Callithrix jacchus: one gene and its partners. The protein of the gene in region 3 interacts with the protein of the main gene of each other region in a pairwise test. Links are inferred from orthologs where the notes say so. Each region holds a gene or a part of one and is shown on either strand. Other genes may lie near its edges.

What was found. The genes of interacting proteins can lie anywhere in the genome.
Region 1: the proteins of FHL2 (region 3) and ID3 interact in binary tests that used the Homo sapiens proteins (3 or more experiments, as listed by UniProt). The link is inferred for Callithrix jacchus from reciprocal best matches to the Homo sapiens genes FHL2 and ID3.
Region 2: the proteins of FHL2 (region 3) and GLYR1 interact in binary tests that used the Homo sapiens proteins (3 or more experiments, as listed by UniProt). The two-hybrid records come from large-scale screens. The link is inferred for Callithrix jacchus from reciprocal best matches to the Homo sapiens genes FHL2 and GLYR1.
Region 4: the proteins of FHL2 (region 3) and SP2 interact in binary tests that used the Homo sapiens proteins (3 or more experiments, as listed by UniProt). The two-hybrid records come from large-scale screens. The link is inferred for Callithrix jacchus from reciprocal best matches to the Homo sapiens genes FHL2 and SP2.
Region 5: the proteins of FHL2 (region 3) and ZNF131 interact in binary tests that used the Homo sapiens proteins (3 or more experiments, as listed by UniProt). The two-hybrid records come from large-scale screens. The link is inferred for Callithrix jacchus from reciprocal best matches to the Homo sapiens genes FHL2 and ZNF131.

Annotation. Positions count from the first base shown.
Region 1 is NC_133508.1:60,314,122-60,317,482, forward strand, and holds ID3 (DNA-binding protein inhibitor ID-3), read right to left. Parts: upstream 2,085-3,361; 5' UTR 2,012-2,084; coding exon 1,712-2,011; intron 1,605-1,711; coding exon 1,545-1,604; 3' UTR 1,522-1,544; intron 1,007-1,521; 3' UTR 503-1,006; downstream 1-502. UniProt on the Homo sapiens protein: Transcriptional regulator (lacking a basic DNA binding domain) which negatively regulates the basic helix-loop-helix (bHLH) transcription factors by forming heterodimers and inhibiting their DNA binding and transcriptional activity.
Region 2 is NC_133513.1:6,961,193-6,965,271, reverse strand, and holds the start of GLYR1 (cytokine-like nuclear factor N-PAC), read left to right. Parts: upstream 1-1,277; 5' UTR 1,278-1,294; coding exon 1,295-1,332; intron 1,333-2,378; coding exon 2,379-2,415; intron 2,416-3,415; coding exon 3,416-3,495; intron 3,496-4,079. UniProt on the Homo sapiens protein: Cytokine-like nuclear factor with chromatin gene reader activity involved in chromatin modification and regulation of gene expression. Acts as a nucleosome-destabilizing factor that is recruited to genes during transcriptional activation.
Region 3 is NC_133515.1:15,512,184-15,516,169, forward strand, and holds the start of FHL2 (four and a half LIM domains protein 2), read right to left. Parts: upstream 2,812-3,986; 5' UTR 2,697-2,811; intron 1-2,696. UniProt on the Homo sapiens protein: May function as a molecular transmitter linking various signaling pathways to transcriptional regulation. Negatively regulates the transcriptional repressor E4F1 and may function in cell growth.
Region 4 is NC_133506.1:118,395,609-118,399,897, forward strand, and holds the start of SP2 (transcription factor Sp2), read right to left. Parts: upstream 2,803-4,289; 5' UTR 2,752-2,802; coding exon 2,745-2,751; exon of another isoform or gene 1-2,744. UniProt on the Homo sapiens protein: Binds to GC box promoters elements and selectively activates mRNA synthesis from genes that contain functional recognition sites.
Region 5 is NC_133503.1:162,367,740-162,371,968, forward strand, and holds the start of ZNF131 (zinc finger protein 131), read right to left. Parts: upstream 2,803-4,229; 5' UTR 2,796-2,802; coding exon 2,763-2,795; exon of another isoform or gene 2,286-2,762; coding exon 2,147-2,285; intron 1,108-2,146; coding exon 1,006-1,107; intron 1-1,005. UniProt on the Homo sapiens protein: Plays a role during development and organogenesis as well as in the function of the adult central nervous system. May be involved in transcriptional regulation as a repressor of ESR1/ER-alpha signaling.

The DNA.
Region 1 (3,361 bases), on a different chromosome or scaffold from region 3:
AAGTCAGCCCAGAAAGCAAAAAGGAAATGAAACCAGGCCCAGTTATCAGTTTATTCATTTCTGTATTGGTCTATCAACCACCACCCATGTCTGGGCACCAGGTGAGGCAACACTTGAGGTTCTTTCAGCTCTTACCACATCCCTGGCTAGAAAGGCATAGTGAATAATTAAGTGACAATAAAACAGAAAGCTACTGATCTCAAGAGACATGAGAACTCAGTTCTCAACCTGCCTGAGCCCCCATCTTGCTCGGCATGCTTGCACCAGTCCCTCTGGTTTCTCTTCATCCGTGAAATGATGGGGCAGAGCCCAGATCTTTTCTCTGCACCCACCCCTCAATGGACATGGGACTCATCATGAGACCTTCTTTCCCCACCCTGTCCTCCTCAGCTGGGCATTTTTTCATCTACCTTTTATGGGAACAAACAAGTTTACTTCCCAAAGCTCCCTAACTTCAGCCATGTGAGAGAAAGCATCATTAGTACTTAAGCGGACACGGGTGTCATATACACAAGTGTTCAAAAATCGTTTATTATGCAAAATGTTAACTTTTATAAAAAGTTTGATATACATCGCATTGTTACAGAAAGTCACCTTCCTGTAAAAAAGGTACAAAAGCTATATACTCTATTATAGAGTTCATAAATCAGGGCATCAGAACCTTTCTCCAAGGAGACCAGAAGACCAGCTCTGCCGCCGCCTTGGCAGAGTCTGGAGAGCAGCCACTCCCTCCTCCACACCTCCATGCTCTGAAAAGACAGTCCTTAAAACTTGGGGGTGGGGTGGGGGCAGGGTGACGTCGCCCAGCTGGTGGCCAGAGCTGGCTCTGGCTCTTCAGGCCACACAAGTTCACAGTCCTTCGCTCTTGGGCACCAGGTTCAGCCTCCAGGAAGGGGTTTGGTGAAGTCAAGTGGGCAGGGCGAAGTTGGGGCCCATCCATGCCGTCCGGCTTCCGGCAGGAGAGGTTCCCGGGGTCCCAGGCCAAACGGGCGCCAGCACCTGCGTTCTGGGCGGGGGAGGAAAGAAGACCAAGGAGCAGTCAGTTTCCGCCAAAGGCGCCGAGGCGGGGGCCGTCCGCAGACTGGCCGGCGCCAGGGAGGAAATTTGGTCTCTACCTCCAGCTGATAACTCCGCGCCCCACGCTGCCCCCACCCAGTTGGCGCCAAAGACCACAGGCGGAGCTTGCACTACCCCTCCCACTTGGAATTGACACTAACTGGGAGGGGGCTGTTGAAGACACAGCTCCCTATACAACTCCAAACAGAAAGACTTTTATTTAGTCGGACCCGCATCTACTTTCCCAGACCCTTGGCCACTGCGGGAGGGCAGGAGCGAGGCGCGTTTAAGGCTGAAATGCACATCACATGGAAACTGACTCTACCATTCATTTGATGCGACCATGGGCAAGTCACTTCTCTCTGGCCTCGGTTTCCCTAAACCGAGGGGGTGGAAATCTTTTAAAAGGTCTGCCAACTCCAGGACTTCCGTTTAAACTCCCTCCCCACGGGAGGAGATACTCACCAGGCGGTGCGAGGACGGCCGGGTCAGTGGCAGAAGCTCCTTTTGTCGTTGGAGATGACAAGTTCCGGAGCAAGCTCGGCTGTCTGAGAAGAGGAAAAGCGGGAAGAGTTACATAAGGCAATCGGGGGCTCTGAGGATCCCACAGCATCTTTGCCTGGGTGTTCAGCCCTGACGCAGCTCCAAGGCTTACCTGGATAGGGAGATGGGGCCCGTCGGGGGGTCCAGGGGCTGGCTCGGCCAGGACCACCTGCAGGTCGAGGATGTAGTCGATGACGCGCTGTAGGATTTCCACCTGGCTAAGCTGAGTGCCCCTCGGGACGCCGGGTACCAGTTCCCGCAGGCGGGAGTAGCAGTGGTTCATGTCGTCCAGCAGGCTCAGCGGCTCCTCTGCTGCCGGGCCCTTGCCTCGGCCCCTGGCGATGGCCAGACTGCGTTCCGACAGGCAGCACACCGCCTCGTAGCAGCCGCGCACCGGGCTCAGCGCCTTCATGCTGGGAAGTGAGTCCAGAAGTGCCCAGAGGTGGGAGAAAACCCAACGAAATCCCCCAACAGTGGCTTGCAATACGTGCACGCTCGCTACCGCGGCACTTATAGAGCCCGCTCCACGGCACGCCCCTTTATGCAAAATGGCCCGCCTCGGCCCCGCCCCCGCCGCCCCTGGGCGTTCACAGCCCGCTTAAATTGCAAACAGGCTTCCTCTGGCTGGTCTGACGCCGAAGACCGCGGAGTCGCGGATTCAAAGAATGAGGAAGCGCTGATACTGGGGAGAGGCGGGCCTCTTCGCCAGCAAGGATTTAAAAATCACTGAAAACCATTAACTTTAAGAATTTGCTTTTTCCTGGCAGCGCCCCAGATCTTTGAGCTTCCATGCCCCCTGCCAGTCCGCCCTTAGCCCAACACTGGTTCGAACCCACAGCTCCTCGGAGGTCATAAATCCTTGAACAGCAAAGAAGCTCCCCCGCTTTTTTTTTTTTTTTTTTAGCAAAAGATTTTTCAAGGGAAACTTGTAAGGAATTAGTGCCGCCTTGTTCCCCAATTTGCTGTTCGTCTGACCTCCAGACTCACTGGCGTCAGGAATTATCTTGTGACCAGAGGGAAAAAAAATTAATTGCGGTGAAGCTGAGGTTACAATGAAGAAAACAGATTTGGGCTAGGCGCTGAGTTTGCAGAAGGAGGAGGGAAAGGGGGTTTGAGCAAAGAACGCTATTTATTTGAGCAACAGGGGAAAAGAAGAAAGCCTGATCCCATGCTTTTTGCATGGGGGAAAAAAAGCCTGGACCCTCTGCCCCATGAACTCCATAACGAAACAAATATATTCCCAGTTGTGCTTTGTAAGTAAATTTAATTAGCATTTTGGTCCAGGTTTTAAATATGGAGGCACAGATGGGACAATTTCGATATAAACCTTTTTAGGAGCCCCCCATTGGGTCAGCAAATTTCTTCCCCTCTCCTCACTTTCCACACATCTCTGTGCGGAAAACAATGGTAATTTCATTGCTCTATTGTCTGTCCCTTTCTGCTGTGGAAGGGCGGGCCACCTGGACTTCATTATTCCTACCCCTGCTGAAGTAGCTCCAGCTTTATCTGAATGACCAGGAAAGGAACCAGAGGGCGGGCAAACTAAGTCCTGTATTGCAGCAGGATGCTGTGCTCTGTATTCTTTGCTTGTCTTCTTGTCACCTCCCTAGACATTTGGGAACCTGCTGTTCTAAGATGCTGGTCATCTTGGAAATGACCAAGTGGGATTCCCCCAATGGTTGCTTTCCTAATGAATCATTGGCAAATATTTATGGAGTCTCTCCACATAAAACAGTGGCTCCTGCTTTCAACAATCTCACAA
Region 2 (4,079 bases), on a different chromosome or scaffold from region 3:
TGAAAGCTCTAACCACCACAATGCATTGGGGAAGTGCGTGTGGACCCGTCACCTTTTCCAGCAGGCACTGACTCAACAAGAGTCCGACACCAACTTTAGGTCAATCCTTGACACTGCGGAGTCTGTAACTGGGACTGGGATCTTTTGCATAATTGTTTCTACCTGGTCTGCTGAAGTTTGGGCCCGCGCTGCGCTCAACTGCAGTGAACACTTCCCAGTTCGTGGTTCAGTTTTAAAGTGTCCGAACTACGCCCGGCATCTGTCTTCCTGTTGTCACAACTTTTTCAAAAGTGTAAAAACTAAAGCAAGGCTAACGGCAGAGCCCGGTCCCGACAACGACACGCACCTTTGTCCCCAACGCCGACGCGGGCCGCAGACGTCCTCCCGCGGCGGTCCTCATGCCGGCCAGGGCCCCGGGCGGTCGCGCAGCTAGCGGTCGGCTCCCGAGCCGCGGCTCCCCGCCGGCGGGTGGCCCACGCCTCGGCCCATGGCCGGGTCCCCGCGCCCAGAGAAGCTTGGTGTGCCGCGCCGCGCGCCGGTCCAGGAAGAAGCAAAGAAATGCCAACTCGACGTCCGCGCAGCCACTCCGGGGACACCGGGGGGTCGGGAGAGCAGTCGCCGGGCGCCCCGGGAGAACTTGCAGCGCGGGACTCCGCGCTCACACGCCGCCTCCGAAAGCGGCCGTCAGGAGGAGCGCTCCAAAGAACCCGGGCGGTGGGAGCGGACAGGCGCGGACACCCGAGCCTCCCGGCCTGCGGTCAAGCGGAGCCGCCGGGCACGGGAGCCCAGACCTAGGCGGAGGGTGAGTTCCAGGCCGCGCCGAGCTCCGTCAGGGCAGCTCCCGGGCGCAGCGACGCGGCCGACCGGCGCCTCGGGCTCTGGAATGGTCCCGGGGCCCGCGCCGGACTAACGGCCGTAACGGAAGCGCCAAGAGGGGAGGGGCGCCGACTCCAAGGCCCGGGGGCGGGGCGGGCCGCGAGGCCGGCTCCCTCTTGCGCTCAGCCGGTCGCACAGTCGCCGCCGCCGCCTCAGACCGCGGACGCTTCGTTGTCACGAGCCGAAGGGAGGGGGTAGGAGCCGGGAATCTCTACGCTCCGGCGCGCGGAGACCGCGGCGCTCGCATCACGTGCCGCTTGGCCGGCCAATGAGCCCCGACAAGCGCGGTGACGTCAGAGCAGCGGCGTGGCCGATGACAGCCGGCCCCTGTCACGTGGTCTCGCCCACTCCAATGGGCGACGCCGGGGCGACCTGCTGTTCCCGGCGGCCCGTGCGTCGGCGGTGGTTGGGTGGTAAGATGGCGGCTGTGAGTCTGCGGCTCGGCGACTTGGTGTGGTGAGTCCGGGCGGCCGGGCCAACCGAGACGCGCCGGGGAACTGCCCGCCTGGGCGCGGGGTTCGCGGCCGGCCCAGGAGCTGCCTTCCTATGCGCTCCAGGTCGCGGAGAGAGGGGAAGAGAAGGTGCCGGCGCTTGTGAGCGGCGCCGGGCGGAAGGGGCAGTCCAGCCCCGGGGGACCGAGGCCGAGGGTGGCCACGGCGGGCACCGGCTCTGATCTCCGAGGCCGCCCGGGAGGGGGCTGCACTTGGGGCCCAGATATCGGCTGTCATGGTGAAGGGAGCCGCTTGTTCCGCGAGGCTTCCCCGGACACCGGGTCCCCGGGGTCTTGCTGCGACTTCCCAGAAAGCAAAAGCGCCGGGGACCGGACCCGCGAGTCCATCTCGCCGGTGCCAGTCGGTCAAAGCCCTGGTTGCGATGCAGCCGACCTGTGCTGGCCGCGCAACCGGGGGTGTCTTAAACCGGACTGCTTACGTTGCCCCGCGAAGAAACGGCGGGGGGACTTCGCTTTTCCAACCGATGGCTTGGCAGTGACCAGTGCCGGCTTGAGTGCCTCTCGTGGTATGCTTCTGTGTCCCAGACAACCGCCCGAACCAAGACTGATTGTCGCCGCCTCCCTCGAGCTGCGTAGCTTGTTTCTCCACCCAGAGGAAGGCTTCCATTAGCATTTGTCAAAGCCAGGCAGGTCTCCTGTTGAATTAAACCAGACTTAGGGAGGGGAAGTCTGTGTTTACAGAGGAAACTGTCCTCCCACCCCCGTCATTAAGAAGCTCTAGACAAGTGACTTTTGACAATTTTGTTCTGTATTCATTATCAACAGAAGAATGGACATATGCTGTGCACATAAGTATACAATTTTACGTTTTACTTCTGAGGGTCTTGGGCCCAGATGTGGAAGACAGGTTAAGGACTCTCGTTTGCAAGCTTTTGTTCCAGTACTTGAGGATGCCAGCAGAGATTTAGGAAAATAAATAGCGTATTGAGTGGGTTGAAGGAGCTGGACTGGCTTTTCCAGGGCAAGTGCTGACTCTGTGTGTTTTCTCTAGGGGGAAACTCGGCCGGTATCCTCCTTGGCCAGGAAAGGTGAGTGTCTTGCTACTGAAGGAAGATAACCGAAGATGGGTATGAGGAGGTGGAAAATATAAGATTCATTCCTCTAAATTTCTAGCATTGAGTTAAACGGGGCCAATTCAGATGGCACTTAGAATTCCCCCGAGTTTTTTTTTTTTTAAAGGCCATACGGTATACACCAGGTCGTTAATCTGCTCTAAACACTATTTGTTGATTTAGAGGACGTTTACGAAGTGTCTTTTTTTTTTTTTTTAACCCCGGAAATAATTCTAATCTGAATTTAGCTTCATGTTTAAATGTAACAAAAGGAGAAGAAAATATAAATTATCCAGGAAGAGAGAGAAGTCTAAATGTAGGTTAGTGAAAAGCCAAAGTATTTTTGTCCCAACTAAGTTTAAATCTTCTTTCTGTGTTACCATATGTGCTACTCCGGTGCCTCTTTGCAGAAGTTGGCATTCCAGATTTTGCATGAGGTGATCTGTCATTGCTTTCCAAATGTTCCGTTTTTATATTCTTGTTCAGAACCCAGGAAGTGTCTTTAGATGGTCTCTTTGCAATATGGTGTTTTCAGTTGTCCTTTGTTTTCACTATTTCCTATCTAACTCTTCCTGCACAGGAAGTATTTCAAAGAGTATCCTCTGCATTTCTTCCGTAACCACTGTCACATGTTGTGGGGGCAGCAAGGGGGCAGGGGATGCTGTTGATTTAACTGCTGGTAAAGCAGGGCCACTGCAGTGAAAGGGATATTGTGTTTACTAAGCCCTGCGCTACATGTTAGATATTGGGAACTTCCAGAATATCTGCATGTTTCCACACATCTCAGTCGAAAAATGGGAGATTTAGGCAAGTACTGGCCTTGGGTTCTGTTTTGTACATGAATAAATTTGTTTATAAGTAAGTCTTTTAATTGACTTTTTTCTTACCAACGTAGAGCTCTGTAGAGCACTGTGGAGCCACGAGAAAGCGGGCTGCTACGTTGCCAGCCAATCTTTTTCCCCCTTTTACTCTCCAGATTGTTAATCCACCAAAGGACCTGAAGAAACCTCGTGGAAAGAAATGCTTCTTTGTGAAATTTTTCGGAACAGAAGACCAGTGAGTAGTGGTCACCTGGAGTCTCCCTTTGCCTTTCTTTCTGTGTTACCTGGAGTTTGAGCTGTTTTGAGAGTATTCTCAGGATCCTTAGTTCAGTCTTCTTATAGTGTATAAGACTGGCATCTCATTCTGGCTTCATACCTAAATAAAGGTGCAGTTGTCTGCAGAAATTGTCTTAGAAGAGCCATGCTCAGTTCTCTTTGAATGCTATATTATCATTATGGTTCATGCATGAGGTATAGAGTGAAAACTAAAATTTTATTTATATTAATAAAAGTTCTTGTTCTCATTTGTAAAACTAAGTGATTTGCTTTGACATTATTATAGTAAGCCTTTTTAACAGATCTGTCCTAAAGTTGAGCAAGCCAAGACCATTCATCTGAGACTCTGACCACATAGCATGTCACAGTGAGGGGAAGAACGTGTATTAACTTGAGTTACTAGTGATTTGTTTGGCTTTCTCATCACTGCATCAACTTGCTTACCTCAGTCTAGCTAGATGGTTTGATTTCTTTTTTTTTTTTGAGATGGAGTTTCACTCTGTCACCCAGACTGGAGTGCAGTGGCATGACTTCAGCTCACCG
Region 3 (3,986 bases):
ATTAGCAGGGTGTGGTGGTACATGCCTGTAGTTCCAGCTACTTGGGAGGCTGAGGCAGGAGAATCACTTAAACCCGGGAGGCAGAGGTTGCAGTGAGCTGAGATTGTGCCACTGCACTCCAGTCTGGGTGACAGAGCAAGACTCTGTCTCGGAAAAAAAAAAAAGTCATAAAATAATAATAAAAGAGCAGAATGAAATTCTTGCACTTTCCTCTTAATACCTAATTGTATGCTCCCCCTTAATAAAACACATCAAGTATGTTTTATGAATTGTTGGCTTCAGATGGTTTTAGTTCAGCTTAATTTTTCAGCATTGCTCTTTAACCGCAACAAAAGTCCTGTGTTAAAATGAATTTTTATTCCTCTTTTCCCTATCTAAAATGTATCCATTAAATTCAAATAAAATCCCAAATTGTAACACATTAAATTACTCAGCACTTATGTTGGTTCTTTTCTGTTTTTCATCCATATTTTAGTGTATTAGAGACTAAGTGAGGAGGTGCTGATAAATCAATGGAATAAAAAAAAATCAGTAAACCAGATTTGTAAGGCATGGGGGGGCATGTAGATCAAGGCACAAGATGGTTGAATTTTTCATGATTCGAAAGGGACCAGTACTAGTGTAGAAATCAATTACCAGATCATACTTTGAACTGATGTTATATCGCTATATTCTAACAAAATATCTTATCTAAATCTTTATGCCCTTTGACTCTTCATCCATCCAACTATTATGAATATTTTAATATATTGACTAACCAAAATGGGTCATAACGATATATAGAGATAACCAATTTTCAAGGAATTAGATTTTGAAACAGCTGTAAGAGGCATTGACCATAAATTGGACAGAAAGCAGATTACCAAGTAATTTGATTGATGTATATATGTTTCTGTTAATTATAATTTACAGTTTCCCAAATAACTTAATGTTTTTGGATTCACCTTAAAATATCTCATAGTGGGATTAAAAAAAAAATCTATGAAGTGAATGGTTTACGTCTTTCAGTCAAAGATACCTTAGAATCAATAAATAATTAAAATCAACAATAAATTGCAAGAATAGTTATCTTTTGAGTAATAAGAGTATATATAATTTTCCATTTTCTTCTTGTTGCTGGTCTGTATTTTTTATAGTAAACGTAGATTATTTGTAGAGTAAAAAAAGAAAATGTAAGCACTCAATATAATTTTAACTCATTCTTTGGTGGAGAGAGAATGAATTAAAATCAGTCTCTGGGCCATGTATTGTAAATATGAAATATTTTAGAGATCAGTGGAAAGTGTGTCCATCCCTGTGCTTCAGGTCATGGGAATGCAGTGAGAGGCATGGCTTGGCCTAGCCTCGGGGATCTGAAATCAATGGAGAACTCTGGAAGCTCTAAATAGAACAATGAGACTTAAAAGTAAGAAATGTTCTAAAAGACAGGTGATGGGTGAGCAGTCTGGGAACCCTGTGTTGGAAAATATGCAACTTTTCATGGAAGTTATATTTTAAAATATTTTTAATATAAGAAAAAGCCTCCAAAATGTAATCATTTGAGTCGATTAGTCAGCTACTCAATTAAATATAAAAACTTGGGTCAGAATGATCTCAACATATAATAAACCTTATTCCAGCCCATCCTGGATACCCCAAAACCCTGATTTGATCATTACACATTCTGTGTATGTACTGAACTACTCACATGTACCCCATACATATGTAAATTCTATTCATGTATCAATAAAATTGTAAAAGCCTAGCAATAAAATAAAATTCAAATAATATTCTTCAAGAAACAAATAAAACAATGAAAATAAACTTACATACAGCAAATATGAGCTACAACAGCGTTAACCTGTAATGCAGGTATTTATTAACACTCTTCGGACTTCAGAATAATTTAGAAACAAAAACTGGACTGACAACTTTTTCTTTTCTTTTTAGATTAGACTTGATAAAGTGTCTTGCATGGAGTCTGGCTAGAAGATATTTATATAGATGATGTCTATTATCATATATATGTCACCCTATCAGTATTGAGATTATTACACAATTGGCCAGGGCGTTACTCAGGACTGTACATCCTAGAGTTTGCCCTGCTCTGGAAATTGTAAAATATTCATGCATTTCCTTTTTAAAGCATGCAACAGCTCTCTGGACTTTCAAACCATCAGCCACTAAGAGTCATGTTGTATAAACACACTTTCCCAGAGTAATCAGACTCATCAGTAATTTGCCATTTCAGCCCAGGCTTTCCGGAAATTCTGTCAGGGAGAAAAAGTTCAAGTGCACTGTGGTTTTCCCCGTTTCCAATGTTTATAATATTTCTTCTTTTGCTTTCCCCTTAAAAAATGTTTTCTGGTGTTCAAAATGGATTCCCACTGAGTGGAGGCAGGGGCTCAATTTCATTTAAACCTCTCCTCATTCCCAATGAGCAGGGTTCTCTATCTTCAAGCCAAGGACCCTGTATCTTTGGGCAGGGTGGCTTCCGTTCCTGGGCTTTGCCATTGGTAGGAGCCAGCAGCCAGCACCACCTGCATTTCTGCTGGGGTCAGTGAGCTCCCAGTGCCTGAGAGCTTCCTCCCAGGCCTGGGACGCTCCCTGTGCATGGAGCAAGATGCCTACACAACTGCTGTCCAAGCCTGCTGCAGAGTTAGGCTGGGAAGGATGGCAAGGGTAAGAGAAGGGCATGGGGAACCAGTGGTCCTTACCTGCAGTGTCAGGGTTCTGTCTTCTGTCCTCCAGCCCGATGAGCAGGGACAGCAGCCGTGCAGGCAGATGGCCTGGTTAGATGGCCCCAACCTTCTCTGCAGCTGCCAGCCAGCTGTGCTGCCCTTGTCAGTGGTGCTATAAATAAGGTGCATCTGGACATTGGCCAGGCTCAGGAGATAAGAACCCAGTCCCTGATTCCTACATGCCTTTTAAGGCCTCCACATTAAAGGAGCCTCGGCTCCCAGAAGGGAAAGGGCTGCCATGTCCTCATTTGTCCTGCCTGCCTCAAGGTCACCTCAGACCTCACATTTTCCAGCAACCCAAAGGGTAGCTGAAGTGGAAAGGCCACCAGTGCCAGAAAGGGACCTTACTTTGGCAAACAAGAGGTAGAACCTCCAACAGGCTGCCCAGCTGCACTTCTGTCCACCCCTCAGATTAGGTGCCTGGCATGGAGGCCCAGGAGTGGAGGGACACTTCCCCCAGGCCCCACAGCCCCTCTGTGAGCTGGGAAATGTGGATTCCTAGTGCTGCCTTCCGGAAAGAGCTCACTGACCTTCTCTTTGGCTTATGAGTTCATTTGCTTGGGTGAGAGGATGTTAGGGAAGCCCGAACAATAGGCTCAATAAATGGCAGGCATTTGGGAAGCCATGGGTGAAATACATTTGCAGAAATTTCTCTCCCTCCCTTCCTCCCTGCTCATGCATGATTATAAGGGTTTCTCGAGCCACACATTGTTTTCTCTATGAAATTAAAACAGTGAAATTCCCAGAGCCTTTTAAAAGCCATATGCTGGGAGAGGAAAGAAAACTAATTTGGGATATCAACAGCTCCTGATTCTTTTGAAATTTCTTACTTACGAGTATGCTGAAAAGGCACTCGCCCATGGCGAGGGCCAACTTCTTCCGAGGATTATTTGGTGAGAGCTGTCTGCATTACCAAAACAATTCTAGGCCTGCAGATTTATCCTGAGGAAAGAATAGTGTATATGGGCAGAGGACATTTCTTGAAGCTCTTTTTTTTTTTTTTCTCAAAATTAGGAAAAGTTGGAAACAACGTAAATAGCTCAGAAGAGGGGACTGAATAAATGAGAAATAGTATATGGGCTGGGCGAGGTGGATCACACCTGTAATCCCAGCACTTTGGGAAGCCAAGGCCGATGTCAAGACATCGAGACCATCCTGGTCAACATGGTAAAACCCCGTCTCTATGGAAAATACAAAAATTAGCTGGGCATGGTGGCGCATGCCTGTAATCCCAGCTGTTCGGGAGGCTGAGGCAGGAGAATTGCT
Region 4 (4,289 bases), on a different chromosome or scaffold from region 3:
CATAAGGGCCCTGATTGGGGAATACTATACTTGCTTACAGTAAGCTTGGGAACTGCTACAGACCTGTAGCAAAGGGCTGTTCAGCTTCTCTAAAAGGCTGCTATTAACCATCGGAAGAACTAAGAAGTTCAAGGCCAAAATATCAAAATGAACCAACCACTCTACTTGCCGAATAAAAAGTTTCTTTACCCCAGACATCTGCCCAAATCTTTTTTTTTTTTTTTTTTTTTTTTGAGATGGAGTCTCACCCTGTCGCACAGGCTGGAGTGCAGTGGCACAATCTTGGCTCACTACATACAACCTCCTCCCGCTGGGTTCAAGCAAATCTCCTGCCTCAGTCTCCCAAGTAGCTCGGATTACAAGTACGGGACACCATGCCCAGCTAATTTTTGTATTTTTAGTAGAGACAGGGTTGGTTTTAGTCAGTGTTGACTAGGCTGGTCTCGAACTCCTGACCTCAAGTGATCTGCCCACCCTGGCCTCCCATCATGCTGGGATTACAGGCCTGAGCCACTATGCCCAGCTTGCCCAAATCTTATAATTTCTTTTCTCCTCTCTGACAGACCTCCAGAGGCCCAAACTTTAATAGAATCCGAGAGAGAAAAGTGGCCAGTCTATCTGCTGTCCACAGTGATGCCAAACTCTTCCTCCTGGAGCCAGTTCTCCCTGTTGGGCAGTCAGGTGAGGATCTAATTATGAACAAACTCTACTTGCGTCTCCCTGGCAGAGCTTGTGGCTTCAGCAGCCTAGCTCACGGAGGCTCATTATGTCAGACTAGCTTTTTTTTTTAAGAGTCTCTCTTTATTGCCCAGGCTGAAGTGCAATGGCGTCATCTCGGCTCACTGCAACCTCCGCCTCCCAGGTTCAAGCGATTCTCCTGCCTCAGCCTCCTGAGTAGCTGGGATTATAGGTGCGCACCACCACGTCCGGCTAATTTTTGTATTTTTTTAGTAGAGACGGGGTTTCACCATGTTGGCCAGGCTGGTCTCAAACTCAGGATCTCATGATCCACCTGCCTCGGCTTCCCAAAGTGCTGGGATTACAGGCGTGAACCACCGCGTCCAGCCTTGCAGTTACTTTTACCCAAAGAGGTTAAGCCTCTGTACAACCAAGAGGAAGAACTAGAATTAGAAAACTTACCAATTGCCCCAGCCAATAAGATTCCATTTCCAACAGGTATTAATGCCTGTTAGAAGCCACTGGAACACTGACATCATCAGCCCAATTGATAGGCTGTCTGATAGATTCGCCCCCTTCATCACACACAAGAATTTAAAACAAAACAAGACACTGCAGTTATATTCATTATTGCAGACAATGGGTTTCTTTATGTTAGTAATTGAAATTACTGCTGCGGTCTGGACTCCACCATTGTTCCCTCTGCAGCCTGTGAGGCTGGCCAACACTGTAAACTTCCTAGCCCTAAAAATCGTAATCCAGAATGCCACCTCAATACAGCCCTCCACTTGAAACTGAATGCCTTCTGGGGTACAGCACGAAAACGTTTTAGACAGTGCATGCCAGTGCACCTTGAAACAGTCAGTGTCCTTCCATCTGTAATGAAATCTGTGTAACGGGAAACTTGAGTCAATTCATTGTTTAAAGCAGATCTACTGGCTCATACCTTTCTCTAGGAAACAGTAAGTGAACAAGAAGTAACCGCAGAAAAAGAAAGAACTTTGCGAGAATGCACTGAGAAAAGCCAGACTGAGTCCCCTTGGATGAAGTTAATTAAGGAACAAACATGACAGGATATTGGAATCACAACCAAGGAATGCAGTGAGGACAGGTTTCTCAGTTGCCCAAAGACATAGTTCCTTTTGAACTAAAATTAGAAAGCCGCTGAGAAGGAAACATAAGAAGCATGGGTAAGAAGCAAGTCAGGAAAGGGGATGAAGGTGTGTTGAGGAAGAGAGCAAGTTTCTATTCTATTTCTTCTGTAATTCCTTAAGATTGTTTGCACCTGAGCTTTGGGATTGCAGCCGTCTCCCCCAAGGGGCGTCAGGTAACAGGCTGGGAGCTTTGGCAACAAGTTCCAAACTTCTCATAATTCTGCTAAGAGCTGGCAGATATCTAGCTGGAGGCTCAAGGATCCAAGTGCAAACATTAAAGGAAGGTTTTTGCCCACTACCCAGTGAGAGGTGATCTGCCTAGGGAGTGCCCTCGTGTCCTGACACCATCTCCCGATTAGGATACATCGGTAACCGGGCTGGCGTCGACGCCCAGCAGTGTCCATCTGGATCTCAAGCGTTCCCTCGCCCCTCTCTGTGCTCCGGGGAGCCCTTAATCGCTGGTGGGCATCTACAGTTAAGAGTGCAAGAAGGCCCCTCAAACACGAGGCAAGCACGAGGGCTGTCGGCTGCCTCCTCGAAGCAGACTCAAGCATAGTCCGCCCAGGCGGGCGAGCAGTTTTGAGATGGGTCGGCACCCGACTGAGGGGTGCCAGGCCGCCCCGGTGCCCGCTACTCTCGCTGGCCCCCGGAAGCGCCGCCCTCCCGCCCGGCGGGCTCCGAGGAGGCGGGGAGTCGAACGCCCCCTTCCGGGTGCCTCCGCCCGGCTGGCCAGCCCCGCTCCTCCTCCGGGCGGGAATCCTCCCTCCCCCGCCCCTCCCGAAGCCGGGCCCCGGCGTCAGGCCCGGCCCCAGGGGGGAACCCCCGGCCTCGGCTCCCCCTCCCCGCGGCCTCTGCCCGTCTTCCTGACCCTTGGGGGCCGGGAAGACCCCGCCGGCAGGGGCCGGGACCCACCGCTCATTACGACATCTTCCTCCCTGGCCTCCGCCGCCTCCGCCGCCACCGAGAGCCTGACACCGCCCGCCTAGCACCCGCCAATCCCGGAGCCCGCCACCGCCCGAGCGACGGCAGCCTTCACCAATAAGCGCTTGGAACATTGGGGACCGACAGCATTACTAACCAATCAACCAGAGGCGTCTAGAGCGACGTTGACTTGGCCAATAGGTTTATGCAATGTCACTGATCGACGGTAAAACCCACCAACCGGAAGCCAATTGAAGAATGAACGACATGTTCACCAGCCAATTGGAGGGAGTCAAAGTCCCGCCTACTGGGTGGTTGATGGACAGCAACAGGAAGCTGGAAGGGGAGGGGCTTATCCTAGGAGTGCTTTTGTATTGGTCGTGGTTGACCTTCCACCCACCTCTAACCCAGAGGATGAGTGATAGATTTGCCCTGAAGCCAATCAGAAGTCATTAGGGTGAGGCCCACAAATGCCTCATAAACAGCGTATACATTGCGCCTTAAGCCCACTCTCTCCCAGGTGTGCCAGGAGCTTTCACGGGCTCTTCGGCAGTAGCCGGCTGCCACTCAACCCTATGCTTGGTGAGTGGAAAGCCACCAACCTTTTATTTAGTTCCCCGCTTGTCATCGCCTCGGGGGGGGCGAAGCACTGGGGTCCGGCACCGTAGAGGGAGTTGGATTGTTACGCGACGCTTCTGAGGGGATTTTCCCAATCGGTTAAGCCCCCGTTAATCCTCACATGGTTATTGCGGCGACCCCCATAACCCACAGTCCCTAACGTGTGCATCTGAATCATCTGAAGTTCTTTCTAAAGGCAGGTTCCTCGGGCCGCTTCTTCTAATTCGACTTGGTACTTCACGGGTCGTGCCTAGAATCTGCATTTTAACAAGGGCCTCCCGTAGACATAATTGCACGCTCGAGTTTGAGATGCACTCTCCCGGGGCTACGCCAGTCAGAGCGTCACTTCTGAAGAGGAAAAAAAAAAAAAAAAGAAGAAGCACTGCTTGGCCCACTTGCCCTTACCTCGAAATGAGGTAAAGCACTTGGTAAGCACTAACCGGGTAGTTTTTTGGTGTTTTTTTTTTTTTTTAAGACGAGGTTTCACCATGTTGGTCAGACTGGTCTCGAACTTCTGACTTAAGGTGATCCACCCGCCTCGGCCTCCCAATGTGCTGGGATTACAGGCATGAGCCACTGCGCTTGGCGCGATGGTTTTATCTTTGCTCCCAAGTCTCTTCCGACAACTTCGGAAGACTGCCTGGCTTTTAGTGAGGGAATCCATTCTGGCTGCAGAAAACCTACTCATGCCACTAACTTAGGCAGGGTACCGAAGCTCCCTGACCCTCGTGTCCTCATCAGTAAAACGAGGTTGATCACATCTACACCTTAGAGTAATGGGTTAAAACAAAAACAAAAAAACCATAACCCATCATGAGAAAATTTTGCATACTGACCACTACGCTTCTGTTTGCATGAGAGTGTAATAAGGTTTCCGAAAACAATGCTTACTACTTGTGACGCACTGATAGTTTCTAT
Region 5 (4,229 bases), on a different chromosome or scaffold from region 3:
GGTAGGGAAGGAGTTACTGCAGTAGCAGAAGACAAAAGCATGGTAATTAATAGCACAAACTTAATTCCTTGCTAGCTGGGCAACTCTGGGCAAGTAACCTTTTAGAGCCTGTTTTCCTGATGGGTAAATTATTAGAAATAATACCACTTCTTTTTTTGGTTTTTTTCTTTTCTTTTCTTTTTTTAAAGAAGAAGAAGAAACACAGTCTGTGTTGCCCCAGGCTGGCCTTGAACTCCTGGGCTCAAGCAATCCTCCTGCCTCAGCCTCCCAAGTAGCTGGGACAACAAGCACAAGCCATTGTGCCCAGCATCAAAGGATTGCTGTGAGCCTTAGATAAGACACAAACTACATATCACAATGCCAAGCAGTTGGCAGGTTGTTATTAGAAAAATGTCTAGCAAGTACAAAAATCACTTTGTTTCAAGGTAACAGGTATTGATCCATCCCATTCAATAACCAGTAGAATTTCCTCTGAACACTACTTCAGTTCATCTTTCCTAGCTTTCTCCCTATTTATTACAGCAGCCCACTTCACACTGTGCATGTCACCTGTACCTCTGCTAGTACAACACTACTGCTGTAAGAGCAGAGTAAAGCGTTCTACTAGTAACCTGCAGCATCTCCACCAGTCTAAAATATAAGCCCACTGAACAAAGATGGTAATTCACTTTTAATACGTGTTTTTAAAAGACAATGACCACCAGCTTCCACAATGGAAAAGACCAACGTCTACCATCTTAAGTTTTTCCTAGAAGATCATTCAACCAAGCACTTTACTGAAACAAAGAATTCTCAGGTATCCAAAGAACAATTTATCTACTTACCTATAGGAACTATTGATGCTTATTTCCTATGGTGTCTTGATAAACGGACTAAAACTGCTTCACCAACTGTTTGCTATACACAAGTATTTAAATTCCAGTATTGTATTTAAAACAAATATGTAAATAAAATGACTTGAGTTATTAAATAAATAAAAAATAAAAAAATAAAACAAGCATTTACCTTCTATCTCCACCAAAGGTTCTTGGGTAAACTCCTGAAAGAATTTGTAGAAAAACTTACTGCAAGCAGCCAAAACAGCCTTGTGAGCTTTAAAATGGTGTCCTAGATAAAAATTAAAAAAAAAAGAAAATCATACACAAGCACAAAAATTAAATGTATAACTATAAAAGAGATTTTAAAATCATAAAAAGCAAAATAGGCCTTTCTTGATAATTACATAACTATAAAATTATTGAACTAAATGCAGAATATTCTTGGCAGCTATCTTGGCAAATTTTAATCTCAAATATTAAGCTAAATCTTCACTTCAAACACCTTAAGTTAGTTTTATAAAGGCTAATTTACAACACTAAATAAGGAGCCTCTTACCACTTTGTTATTTCGAATTAGTGAGAAGCATATTCAATTCAGTTGAAACAGCTAAATAAAAGGACAACCCAAAAGGTCACATATCATTTGGAAAGAGAGAAAAAGCCATAAGCACAAAGCTGGATATGTCTGCTATGAAAAACATTTTAATATGCCTAATATTTGAAAGCTCAATCTATGGTAGACCGATAATTTTAAAAGCAGCTTATCTTAAGAAACCTATTTTCACTAAACAGAAAAGATATCCAAGCTAGATTTGCTTCTATTACAGTGGCAACTCCTAAGACTGTAAAGACCCATTTTATTTTGGAGATTCTCCAAGGGGGTATGAGTGCTGCAAAGGAATCTCTCACATTCTCCCTCCAAGACCATTTGGGAAACCAGAAAAGAATCAACTTCCCAAATGCCTCCTGTGAGGGACTTCTCAAAGCAGCTTACCAACAAGAGGCTATCAACCAAACATTTTGAGACGTCCTATCCCCAACGCCATCATATTGCACTCAAGTGCAAAGAGAAAACTTCAACAGGATGCAAGAAGTTAAAATGAGAGGAACACCAGACTACGTGGAAAGCGTGACTGGCCAACCAGCCTTCTGCAGCACGCTCTGTGTGAGTGGACACTGACAAGTGCAATCTGGTCCCAGTGTACACACTCTGAAGACTTTGGTAGGGAGACCATACAGGATGGGTTTAAAGAAAAAAAGGCGGGTGTCCGCAGGACAGAGAAAAACTAAAGCCAAAAATTCGTTCTTCTGCCCACTTCCCTACCCACCGTCGACAATCAGGGTGATGTCAGTAAACCGGTCCTGCTCTCGCTGTTCATTCAATCGGTCGAGGATCATTTTATGATGTTCAGGGAACTCCTGAAGGCATTCCATCGTCTCTTCAGCCTCCATGGCCGTCGGGTTGCTCTACAAAAGAAGAGCATGATAATGTACACCCATGAGCTCGGGTTGAGGAACAAAACCCCTAAAGCATAAAACAACAACAACAAAAAAACCCAGCAACGTGAAAAGAAGGGGGGAGGGTGAGGCAAGAGGAGAGGAAGGCGAGGGAAGAAAGAAAGGCGAGCCGAGAGGCGCCCAGCGTTGGGGGCCGGAGCCGCGGCCGCGGGACTCCGAGCCTGACCTAATTGGAGTCGGGAGACGCGAGCTGGAGCGGGGTGGGCACAGCGCCGGAGGCTCAGAGCGCCGGGGCGCGCAAGTCCGACAAGGGAGGGGACTCGACAGCCGCGAAGGCCCTCTAACGGCCCGCCCAGCGCTTCTGCCCAGCCCGGGCTCCCGCCGCCCCGGGACCCGGTCCGGCCCGCGGCCCACAACGACTCTCGGGTCGCCTCTCCCTCCCCCGCCCTCCCTCTTCTCCCCCGCCCCGACCGGGCCGGCACTCACTGAGAGAAGGAGGGGCGGCCCAGGCTTGCGCATCACTTACGTCGACGTACGGCGTCACCGCGTCGGGCTCCGGCTGACGCCAACGGCTTCCGGGCGCCGACCAGCGGGGGAACGGGCCACGCCCCTACCCACACCCCTCAGTGGATGGGCGGGCCCGAGCGCGGGGATTTGGCGCTCACTAAGGGCGAGGACTTGCGTTCAGAAAGGAAACCGGGCTGCGGGGTACTTGGGCTCGTTTGGGGACTGGCTGTGCCAGAAGCTGGGAACCTAAGTCGCCGCCATTCCACCTCTCACCGCCCCGCAGCTTGACTCCCGGTGCCGACACTTTCCGACTTGAACCTAGAATGAACTCGCCAAACGTCCTCCCAGCCCAGCTGCTGCGCGGCCCCTCCCGCCCCGTCGTTCCCCGCCCCCTTCCTTCCGAGACCTAGGTCCGTCCGCCTTACCTAGCTCGTGATCCGCCCTTTTTCCTCTCTGTGCCTCCGAGCTTCTGGTTCAGTGCTTTTCCCTCCCTGGGCATAATGCGCCCCACACTTTTCCCGACCCCTGACCCATGGCTCGCCCTCCATTTTCCCCGCAAGAGCCGCGACTCTCCCTCTGCTCGGGCCCAGCTGGCGCACGTGTACTAGGTTGGACAGCGGCACCGACAACGGTAGCGACGGGCGCGAGCACGTTCGGGTCGCCGGTGATCTTCCTCCGCGAAGCGCGCCCTCCCGGCTCCTGGCCGCAGCACGTGTTCGCTGGGCTTAGCACCTGGAGCTGCTCAGAATTATTTACACCGGGTGCCCCGACTGCAGGTCCCGACTCCTTTAAAGAGTCTAGTCAGGCCGCGGTGTCTCACGCCTGTAATCTCAGCACTTTGGGAGCCCGAGGCGGGCGGATCACTTGAGGTCAGCAGTTCGAAACCAGCCTGGCCATCATGGCGAAACACCGTCTCTACTAAAAATACAAAAATCCGCCGGGCGCGGTGGTGGGTACCTGTAATCCCAGCTACTAGGGAGGCTGAGGCAGGAGAATCGCTTGAATCCGGGAGGCGAACGTTGTAGTGAGCCGAGATCGCGCCCTTGCGCTCCAGCCTGGGCGACAGAGCCAGCCTCTGTCCCCCACCTTAAAAAAAAAAAAAAAAAAAAAGAGTCCAGAGTCCAGCACAGTCGGCTGCATGTAACTGTTTCCTTCATTCCTCCAAAGAAATATATGTATTAGTATTGATACATTTTGAGGATAATCCTATACTTGAGATTTACTTATTCTTTTCCCTCAAAGAATTTGAGAATTGGGATTAGGGAGGGACTCAAATAGCTATATGCAAGGGTGAATGTAATCATCATTTCAACAGACATGTATTGAGAGTCCTAGCACTGAGAAATCCAGCTACGAACAAGGTATATGTGGCTTCTGCCTTTCTGAATCTTAAGTCTAGTAGAGTCCATAGATATTTTGAACAGTAATTGCCTAAATGCTTACTGG